Regions from separate parts of the Mus musculus genome. Here regions 2 and 3 are each reported to be linked to region 1. Evidence: microRNA targets listed by miRTarBase, many of them from high-throughput screens and not tested one by one. Region 1 holds a microRNA gene; each other region holds the end of a gene's coding sequence.
The links. Region 1 holds the annotated microRNA mmu-miR-344c-3p (UGAUCUAGUCAAAGCCUGACAGU, at 1,102-1,124, opposite strand). A microRNA usually pairs through its seed, bases 2 to 8, with sites in the 3' UTR of a target mRNA and lowers its output. Matches are read on the target gene's strand: a 7mer-m8 pairs with bases 2 to 8, a 7mer-A1 pairs with bases 2 to 7 and ends in A, and an 8mer does both.

Region 2: miRTarBase lists Rrp1b as a target of mmu-miR-344c-3p. Seed matches in the 3' UTR shown: 7mer-A1 at 1,535-1,541.
Region 3: miRTarBase lists Bcl2l11 as a target of mmu-miR-344c-3p. Seed matches in the 3' UTR shown: 7mer-m8 at 2,934-2,940.

The regions. Positions count from the first base shown.
Region 1 is chr7:61,836,222-61,839,463 of GRCm38, forward strand. Mir344c (microRNA 344c) reads right to left here and starts at 1,181; the gene lies at 1,090-1,181. The region is part of intron 6 of A230057D06Rik (RIKEN cDNA A230057D06 gene); the gene reads right to left.
Region 2 is chr17:32,060,204-32,063,303 of GRCm38, forward strand. It overlaps Rrp1b (ribosomal RNA processing 1 homolog B (S. cerevisiae)), which reads left to right. Exons shown (of 16, transcript NM_028244.2): 16 at 145-2,659. The coding sequence ends at 338. Among named protein-coding and RNA genes, the nearest start is that of Rrp1b, 26 kb to the left of the region's middle.
Region 3 is chr2:128,157,859-128,160,958 of GRCm38, forward strand. It overlaps Bcl2l11 (BCL2-like 11 (apoptosis facilitator)), which reads left to right. Exons shown (of 4, transcript NM_207680.2): 4 at 373-3,100. The coding sequence ends at 471. Among named protein-coding and RNA genes, the nearest start is that of Gm14009, 10 kb to the right of the region's middle.

The DNA.
Region 1 (3,242 bases):
AGCCATAATGACAATACAATCCTTACTGTAAGAAACCAATTGGAATTTTGAACTTCTGATACTCTTTTTCTTTTCTTTTTTTCTTTTTTTATTAGGTATTTTCTTCATTTATATTTCCAATGCTATCCCAAAAGTCCCCGATACCCTCCCCCCACCACTCCCCTGCCGGCCCACTCCCACTTCTTGGCCTTGGCGTTCCCCTGTACTGAGGCATATAAAGTTTGCAAGACCAATGGGCCTCTCTTTCCAATGATGGCCAAGTAGGCCATCTTCTGTTACATATGTAGATAGAGACACGAGCTCTTGGGGGAGGGGGGTACTGGTTAGTTCATATTGTTGTTCCACCTATAGGATTGCAGACCCCTTTAGCTCCTTGGGTACTTTATCTAGCTCCTCCATTGGGGGCACTGTGATCCATCCAATAGCTGAGCATTCACTTCTGTTTGCTAGTCCCCAGCATAGTCTCACAAGAGACAGCTACATCTGGGTCCTTTCAGCAAAATCTTGCTAGTGTATGCAATGGTGTCAGCGTTTGGAGGCTGATTATGGGATGGATCCCAGGGTATGGCAGTCTCTAGATGGTCCATTCTTTCATCTCAGCTCCAAAGTTTGTCTCTGTAACTAATTCCATGGGTGTTTTGTTCCCAATTCTATTAAAGGCAACAAAATGATAGTAGGTAATATATCTAATGCTATATTTCTTTGTCTAAGAAGGCCTTGGAAGACAGGTAAGATAGTGGTCTGGAAATGTTAAAGGTTGGCCTCTCAGGGTATATCAGTGGGTCATGTGAGAACTATCCCTACCAGAGCAGTTCTTCATAGTGGGTCTTACCCTGGACTGTAGGAATAGAATATACCTGGTATCTGTCAGAAACTGACTGGCAAATTTTATAATCATTTTTGAAGTTGATGAAGGATCCCAAGCCTGGAAAAATGGTGAAAATTTTAAAGGAGAAACTGGCTTCACTGCGAGAAATATATTTCCTGTATAATAAACAGGAGCCATGGACTCAGAGCAGGAAAGGAAGTCCCTGCCTATGATATATCTCCACTGGCTCAGTCTCCTGCAAGAGCAGTCAGTCTTCCTCTCTGGAGCAGTTTACTGTCAGGCTTTGACTAGATCAGGTACCAGCTGATAGCTGTACTCTAGCCAGCAGCCTGACTGAAAAAAACCCTTGCAGAAGAAATTTTTATTTGCTCCCTTTGCTTCTGATTGGAGGAATGTGTACATGCAAATACAGAATGGATTAAGAGCCAATCAGGAGAGAGATCTCAAACATAAGAATGCAAAGCACAGCCTGGTAACCTTGGAGATTTCCATTAGAGCTGCTGATTCATTTATCTCTCCCTCCTCCCTGTGTGTTGCCACAGAAACAAGGAAAGTGAAAAGGGAAGCCAGGAAAAAAAAAAAAAACACAATTTAGCCAAAGCTCTTCCTCCAATTAACAATGCACAGTACCAGTATGTGATGATGGAGGCTTATAATGTCAGGGGCTGCTTGGAAATATATTGTGTATATATAGAAGAAAGCCTCAGTTTCTGCTTCAATTTTTCTGATTGTGACTCTGGGATATGAAGTGCAGCTTGCTACTGACTTTTTGGTCTCTTCCTGTGTCTGCTTCCCCCACTGGTATGAATATATTCTTGAATTATACTACATAATATATTCATAGCTATTGAATTGTCTTATTAAAATCTGCTAGGACTGAAAGACAGAAATGCTACTTTAAAACACTGCTCCAAAATAGTTACCATAATGATTGTCATAATGACAAAAAATAATTTTAGAAATTGTTACCTCAGAAATGCTTAAAATATACATATATTTTCAAAATTTCTCTGTGAATATATGTAAGATATTTGTGTTATTGTGATTATACATTAGGTTTGAATGCAGGTAGGGCTTTCTTTTATTTATTTTTTTCTTTCTTAGGTGCAGTTGATAGTCATAATTTATGAAATCCATTCCATTTTGCTACACTGTATTTTACTTACAATCACCGCTATTCCTATTCCACCAGAAGGTAATATATGTTCTGTCTCTTTAATAAATCTGAGTTCATTTAAGGCATTTGTCTGTACATGGATATGGCACCATCTACTGAAAAATTGTAGTCTCTCAGGTAAGGATACCTGAGAAAAATCTGACTATTCCACCAACTTATTAAATACCAAAAGCCAGCCTAATACAAGTGGGAATTCATGAGTCCTGCTTCTAGTCATCCTGGGATTTTGGCTGGATGTACATAATATAAGAATTGTGCATACAGTGCAGTTGATAGTCATAAAATGTTTTATTCAGGAAATGATTTATGAAATCCACTCCATTTTGGTACACTGTATTTTACTTCCAATCACTGCTATTCCTATTCCATCAGAAGGTAATATATGTTCTGTCTCTTTAATAAATCTGAGTTCATTTAAGGCATTTGTCTGTACATGGATATGGCACCATCTACTGAAAAATTGTAGTCTCTCAGGTAAGGATCCCTGAGAAAAATCTGACTATTCCACCAACTTATTAAATACCAAAAGTCAGTCTAATACAAGTGGGATTTCATGAGTCCTGCTTCTAGTCATCCTGGGATTTTGGCTGGATGTACATAATATAAGAATTTTGCATACAATCTCTAATGATAGAAATACATGGTTGCTATTGAGTATACATATCTATTATATAGAGATTCAATGTAGGTGTGCATTATTTAAGATAATATTTAACTCCAATGACTGGATTTTGCTAAACATTCTAGCCTAGCTGGCCCTCAAAACCCAGTGATTTTTGAGTCCCTAGCTCATGGTATGAGACTGCATGATACATGTATGTATCACTGCTAATACATGTATGCCTGTTGTTTTTTAATTTAATATGAGTATTCTGGAAATAAACCCCAGATACGCATATTCCCATGATATCTGAACCATCTATCTGGATCTGCATATTATAATCTTAAAGGCAAAAAAATAGCATTATAAACATAACTTGAGGACCACACTGTTGTCCATGCAATATTTTTTCTTTCCTCGTTCTGATTCTGTCATTTGGACTCCACCAGTTTCAAATATATTATTTCTGAAAACTGAATGAAGTTTGAGGTAACAGGCAGGTGACTGTGCCTCACTTATGACCCCCACACATATAATGGTACAAGAGAAGCACAGTGTATTCTCCTGTATAGTCCATCTCAGACTTATTCAAAATCTTCATATATTTAAATGGTATTTTCCTATAGGTTCTATTT
Region 2 (3,100 bases), not on the chromosome of region 1:
TTGCTCCCTTTGATGTATCTTAGGTGTCTCCTGCATTTCAGGGGCCTTGGGAATATAAGCCAAGAGCCCTGTGTACCTGGAAAGGACAGGCATGACACCCAACTAAATAAACTGAGTAAATAGCCTCACTTTCTTTTGGGACAGAATTTAAGAAGACAGACAAGAGTATCCTGGTCAGCCCCACAGGCCTCTCCAGAGTGGCCTTTAACCCTGAGCAGAGGCCACTCCACGGAGTGCTGAAGACCGCCACGAGCTCCCCGGCCAGCACTCCTCTGTCGCCCATGAGGCTACCAGCCACCACCCCAAAGAGAAGGCCAAGGGCTGCGGACTTCTTCTGAGAGCCAGAAGCCCTTTCTGAAGCCTGCTTTTATACCGGATGTTCTATAAATTATAACTTTTAAAGTTGGGCTTTTTAATTACTTTACAAATACCCATGAGTGGGACAGATGTTCTGAACCTGGACCACAGGCCTTCCTGCTAGGCTTGCAGCCCACGGTGCACATCTGCGCACACCCTCACTGAGGACTGAGTGCTGTTGGTACACGGAGCCCCCTCCTCCATACCCATTGCTGCACCACCACTGTGGATTGCACGCCTTTCTGGGTGGCTGCAGTCTCTGTCCCTTGTGAAAGCATGGCAGCTTCAGGCCCATCTGCGGGCATGTGGCTGTTTTTCCTGGGATTGACTCCTGAAATGGAATGAGCAATAGTGTAGCTTTTCTACGGGTGACCAGCAGGAGGCTAGACAGGTGGGGGGGTAGGGGAAAGCCACTTTTCCCGGAGGCTTCTCCTCCTCTGCCTGGCCTGTTCCTGTCCCTGTCTTCCTACCTCTATAGCAAGCCCAAAGTGTCTTTTCAGGAGGGCCAGTAGCCCCCAGGCTGCTGCCCACATTAGCACAGTTTTCCCAGGGCCTCCCTGACTGCACCAGTAGGGTCTGGACCCCAGCTCTTGCCTGACCTGGAAGTTGGCTGCCCAGGAGTAGAAGCCTGTTAGCTGCCTCCATGGGTTTTATACAGCTCTTCTTGCTTAGTGCGGAACCCAGGGAGCTGCTCAGACTTCCACCAAAGCAAATCTGGCTCCTTCTTTAGAGAGAAGCCTACGTGGCGACTGCTCTTATTTAAGGAAACCACCTTGGGTCTGAGAGGTGGAGAGGCCGTGGGATTAAGCACAATAGGAGGCGCAGCTCCTGCTTCTACCGTTAGGCGCTGCAGGCTTGAAGTGGCAAGGCCCTGCATCTCAAGCACTCAGAGCTCTGTGAGCTTGCCTACTGTGCGCAGGATCTCCCCAAGTATGTCCTACTCTGTGCACCCTGTGCTGGAGCCCTACTTTTCACCCCGCTGCCCCTCGGGAGGACTGCAGCTCGCTCCTGTTGGGATCGCAAAGCTCGGGTACCTGCCCCGGCTTTGCTCCACACAGTCACGGGGTCCATTTCCAAGTCGTCTTTTTTGTTTGTTTGTTTGTTTGTTTGTTTGTTTGTTTGTTTTTTCCAGACAGGATTTCTCTGTGTAGCCCTGGCCGTCCTGGAACTCACTTTGTAGATCAGGCTGGCCTCGAACTCAGAAATCGGCCTGCCTCTGCCTCCCGAGTGCTGGGATTAAAGGCGTGCGCCACCACGTCTGGCTCCATTTCTAAGTCTTGAACCAACTGACTCCCGAATGCCATTCCCGGAAGGAACCAAGTGGTGACTTTGTCCTCTGCCTGCTCAGTCACAAAGTATATCACTAGGCCATAAAAATGGAGATGATGTTTTGCTTGTGTCACAGTAGGTCTTGTGCAGTGTCACTTGTAGTTGCATGGTTACAGCGTGCTGAGTTTGACCATTACATTCAAAACTAAAACCTGTGTAGGAAGGTTAAGGTCGTGGCAGCAGATGCCTAGCTTCTTATTTAAAAAGTTGAGTGCACCCAGCCATTTTCTGTTTTAAAGATAGGTTAATATAGCCAAGAGGGTCATACAGCCCAGTGGTGTAGAGCAAGACACCAGGTAGCAGTAATAGAAAACAACCTCACACCATTTTCACAATGGCCGCCCATCCTCGGGGACTGTGAGTGTCCTTGTCTTAGTCAAAGCACATCTCCTACCAAAATTGCTCCCAAGATGGAGGGTGAGACCTCAGTGCTAGGTTGACAGGTGGGCGTCGCCATGCCTGGACCAATTCCTGCACAGCACAGGAAGGCTCCACTCCATGAAGGAGTGCATTTAGAATGGCATCCTGGTCCTGGATGCAGATTCTCAAGTAAAATTGCTGTTAAATTTCTTCAAGTCCAGAGAAGCAAATCTTAGTGCGGGCAGACCGAGTTAGTGTTTGATGCGACTATCTCCATCCTTAGTATGGATGTGGTCAGTTCTGCACAATTTGGTTTCAAACTAACTTTTTTTTCTTTCCTTTTTAAAAATAATAATAATGTCTCAGTATGTATCCTATCCCACACTGGCCCCACACCGGTGGTCTCCCTGCCTCAGCCAGGCTACTGCTGGGACACGCACAGGAAGGAGCATGAGGGGGGGTTGGGAAGCAGTCGCCTGCCTGGGAAGTGGGTCTGTGTTTTCTCTAACTGCCACAGTGCTATTTGTTTACCATCAAATTGTATTGGTGTTTCCAGGGCTTGTTGGTACAAATCAAAGCCAAGACCAATTAAAAGAAATGTATTTTTATCTTCGGATTGGTCTTTGATGTTGCCTCTGTGTGTATAAAAATAGACCTCTGGAATGACTGTCATGTCAGGGTCTGGAAAACTCAGGCATCTGTCGTTTTTGAAAACAGGACACAGCGGGTACCTATCCCTGTTTCCCCAGAGCCAGTGAGCTCGTTCAGGCACTTGGTTGATCCTGTCCTGGGACTGCTCACTGCCATTCACTGTGTCTAAAGCAGAGGATCTGGGCCCTGAGTGCAAAGCCCATCTTCACCATAGGGAGAAAATGCATAATGTGTCCCCAGCCGTGGTCCACATGTTGTAAGATCAAAACCCACTCAAGTCAGCTAGAGGAAAAGGGCACATGGACAGGAGGCCCAGAAAGTTTTTCAGCCTACCTCAGGAAGGATTGTGGCAAATGGAGGTTGGAAGAGGCTTCTCCAAGAGCCAGAGAACTCAGACAACCAG
Region 3 (3,100 bases), not on the chromosome of region 1:
TCTAAATATCAGTGAACGTGGCTGGCAGTACAGAAACCCAAGTTCATTCTTTTCTTTTCCTCTGCTCCCTCCCACACCCTCAGTCACGTCTCCTGAGACACCAATCATCAGTGACCTGGCGTGGCTCCTGTCCAGTACCCATGTGAAGGTTCACAGTTCCGGGATAGCTTTGGAATAGTTTGGTCTTCTGTTCGCTCTGTTTCCCCAGTGATGGAGAGTTCACTCGGTACACTTGTACTCCATGATGTCACATCCTTCCCCCCTGGAATTTGAGTCTCCCTGCAATTCAGATGGGCTATGTCTCTTGCCTTGCATACGCGCCTTCTCCAGATTACGAGAGAGTTGCTAAGAACTCTGCTTCTGTTGTTGCAGGTGTTTGCAAATGATTACCGCGAGGCTGAAGACCACCCTCAAATGGTTATCTTACAACTGTTACGCTTTATCTTCCGTCTGGTATGGAGAAGGCATTGACAGGATCTACATGCAGCCAGGATACGTGGCGGACATGGCTCTTGTTCAGACTGGGAGAACCCCCACGCGTCATGTCCCTCTCTTGGTGCTGCGACAGTGTGTCCAGTGGTTCTATCCCAGAGAGATGTGCTGAGCATGGACAGCGCTCTGCACTGTGTCGATGTGAACGGAACCTCTGTTCATCACCACATGGCCGAGTTTTCAGTAAATATTTGTTGTGAATGTAAACAAGGGAGGGCTTTTCTCTTTTTAATGTACAGATCCTAGGAACAGAGAAATATGCAAGAGAGGTGTTTACATGTGGCGTGTTAATTTTTTTAAACCCACTTTCTTTGATAACTGTTTTTGGGGTTTTTTTTTTTTGTCTCATTTTCTTTCAGAAAGTAAAGCTTTTTAGCCAATTTATGGATGATTTTTATACTCAAATTCTTAACCCACTACCTACTCAGAGGATTCCATAACCCTGCAGTGGGAACTGAGCCAGCTGATTTATAAGGCTGCCTTAGTTTATTTTTAGAAATTACTGTACAGAATTTTTTAAACAGGAAGAGTATGGTGTTGCCCTCTCTCCTCTGCCATGGCCTCTTTGAGTTTCCTTTTGAGTTATTACTACCAAAACAGTTCTTAGGAAATGGAATGAGTTCGAGCGGCAGAGGTTCTGTTCTGGTACGCCACTTCCACTTTGTAAATATTTACCTCCTTAGCTCAGTTGCTCCTGTAGCAGAAATTCACACTTTTCCTGCTTCCCTCAACTCCTCAGACCCCTCGGTCTGTCTCCACACGGATGCGCAGCTTCAGCCCAGGGTATCTTCAAGTGTATTGTGTCAGCAAGGGCTAGGGGCTGCCCGGATTGTGCCCAGCTCCATCAATCAAGCTGACTCACGGGAAGGGCTCTCGTGCGCTTCACTGCACTGCGGTGGCTGTGTTTGCCTCTTTTATCCTGAGAGGACGTGGGCTCACACACCGCTTGCTGAAGCCGCTAGCTCCACTGGTTGCTGGCTTTGCTGCCGCCACAGGCTCTGCTTTGCTGTGTGTATCAGGTGAGCTGGAGCCCACGCTTTCTCGGGGACTGGCCAGGTCATTTCAGGAGCAAGGAGCTCAGGTGATCCTTTTCCATGCTTCTTGGGATGTAGCCCTGCTCACCCCACCTGGCCTGTGATTCCTGAATTTCATCTCTATTCCCTTGAGTTAGGGGCTGGCTCTACTTCCATCAGTTCCCAGACATAGGAAGCTTCCATTATGCCGAGTAAAGCACTTGTCTTCCACAAGATGTCTGCCTGCTTTGCTCTCTCCATTTTCTTAATACTTGGATCTTGTTGGGCTTACTTGTGTCTGGGGTGGGGGTGAGGTGCTCTTTCTTGGTCCCTGCCCCTTAGGACCACAGCCCAGACATTTGGTCAGTTATTTCAAGACCAGGCAGGACTGGAAGTGCACAGCCTGGTGGAGGAGCACTTTCTAACCTGTGGAGAGCTGTGGCCCAGCTCCAGCTCCTCCCAAAACAAACGGCACACGTGTAGGCAGACAGCCAGGGGAGATACAAAAAAGGACCAAGAGGAAAGAGCATGGGAGGAGTGGGGATGGCAAGCCCTCTCACTTCTGAGAACTTCAGACGTCAGGCAGCTTGCTCAGGAAGCTTTATGAGTTTCCTCGCAAGTCAGCAGTGCCAACGACTGTTTGCTTTTGGCCTGTAGAAAGCCAGTGGTTTTTCTTATGTTATGAAGTAGAGAAATCCGTTTGTTCATACTTTCCTCTGTGTGTGTGTGCATGTGTGTGTGTGTGTGCATATGCGTGGTTGTGTGTGTTTATATGTATATGTATATTACCTATAAGCTTCCTTCTAGATTGAGATCATCTGATTCCAAATATCCTTATACATTTCCCAGCTTCGTTAGATTTGGTGTGGTTTGAAAGCTGTTTTGGCATTCTCCTCCTTTCCTGATGTATTGAGCCTGCTCATGGTTCCCATGAGGCCCTGTGGTTATTATAAGTTGGTGTTAAAACTGCAACCATGGCTCTCACACACACACACACACACACACACACACACCAAAGACATACTTGGTCCTGGGCCATGCCCCCCTCCTAGGACCTCCATTCTCATGTGCCAGTCTCCCCGACTGGAGCACTTTACTGTCTCAGCCCCATGGCTCTGTGGCAGTGCCTGAGCAGGTGCAGAAGCTCCAGAGCCAGGTCCCAGTGACATGTGTGGCCCCCAACGCATGCTTACCTCCAGCCTGGGGCTGGCCGCTGAAGCAGCTCATAGGGAAATAAGAGATTCTATGAATTGTAGAAGTATTCAAGAACAGGATGCGGCACCCAGAACGTAAACATGACTGGATGTCCCTGTACTGTATCTGTTTGTTAGAGTGCAAACGTCGCCTGCAGACAGACAGTGCCCCTGCTTACTGTGGGTAGGCCTTTGTACTTAAATATATTCTCTCTCGTTTTTGGTAGGACAGAAACTAGATCTCCCTCCCCCTCGTGTGTGTGTGTGTGTGTGTGTGTGTGTGTGTGTGTGTGTGTGTGTGTGTAAACATAATGCGGGTTTTGTGCCTTGACAACCTCCCCATGTGAGGTTTGTAAATAGTGTCCTGTGACTTCACCTCAAGTTGTAATAAACATACAAAAT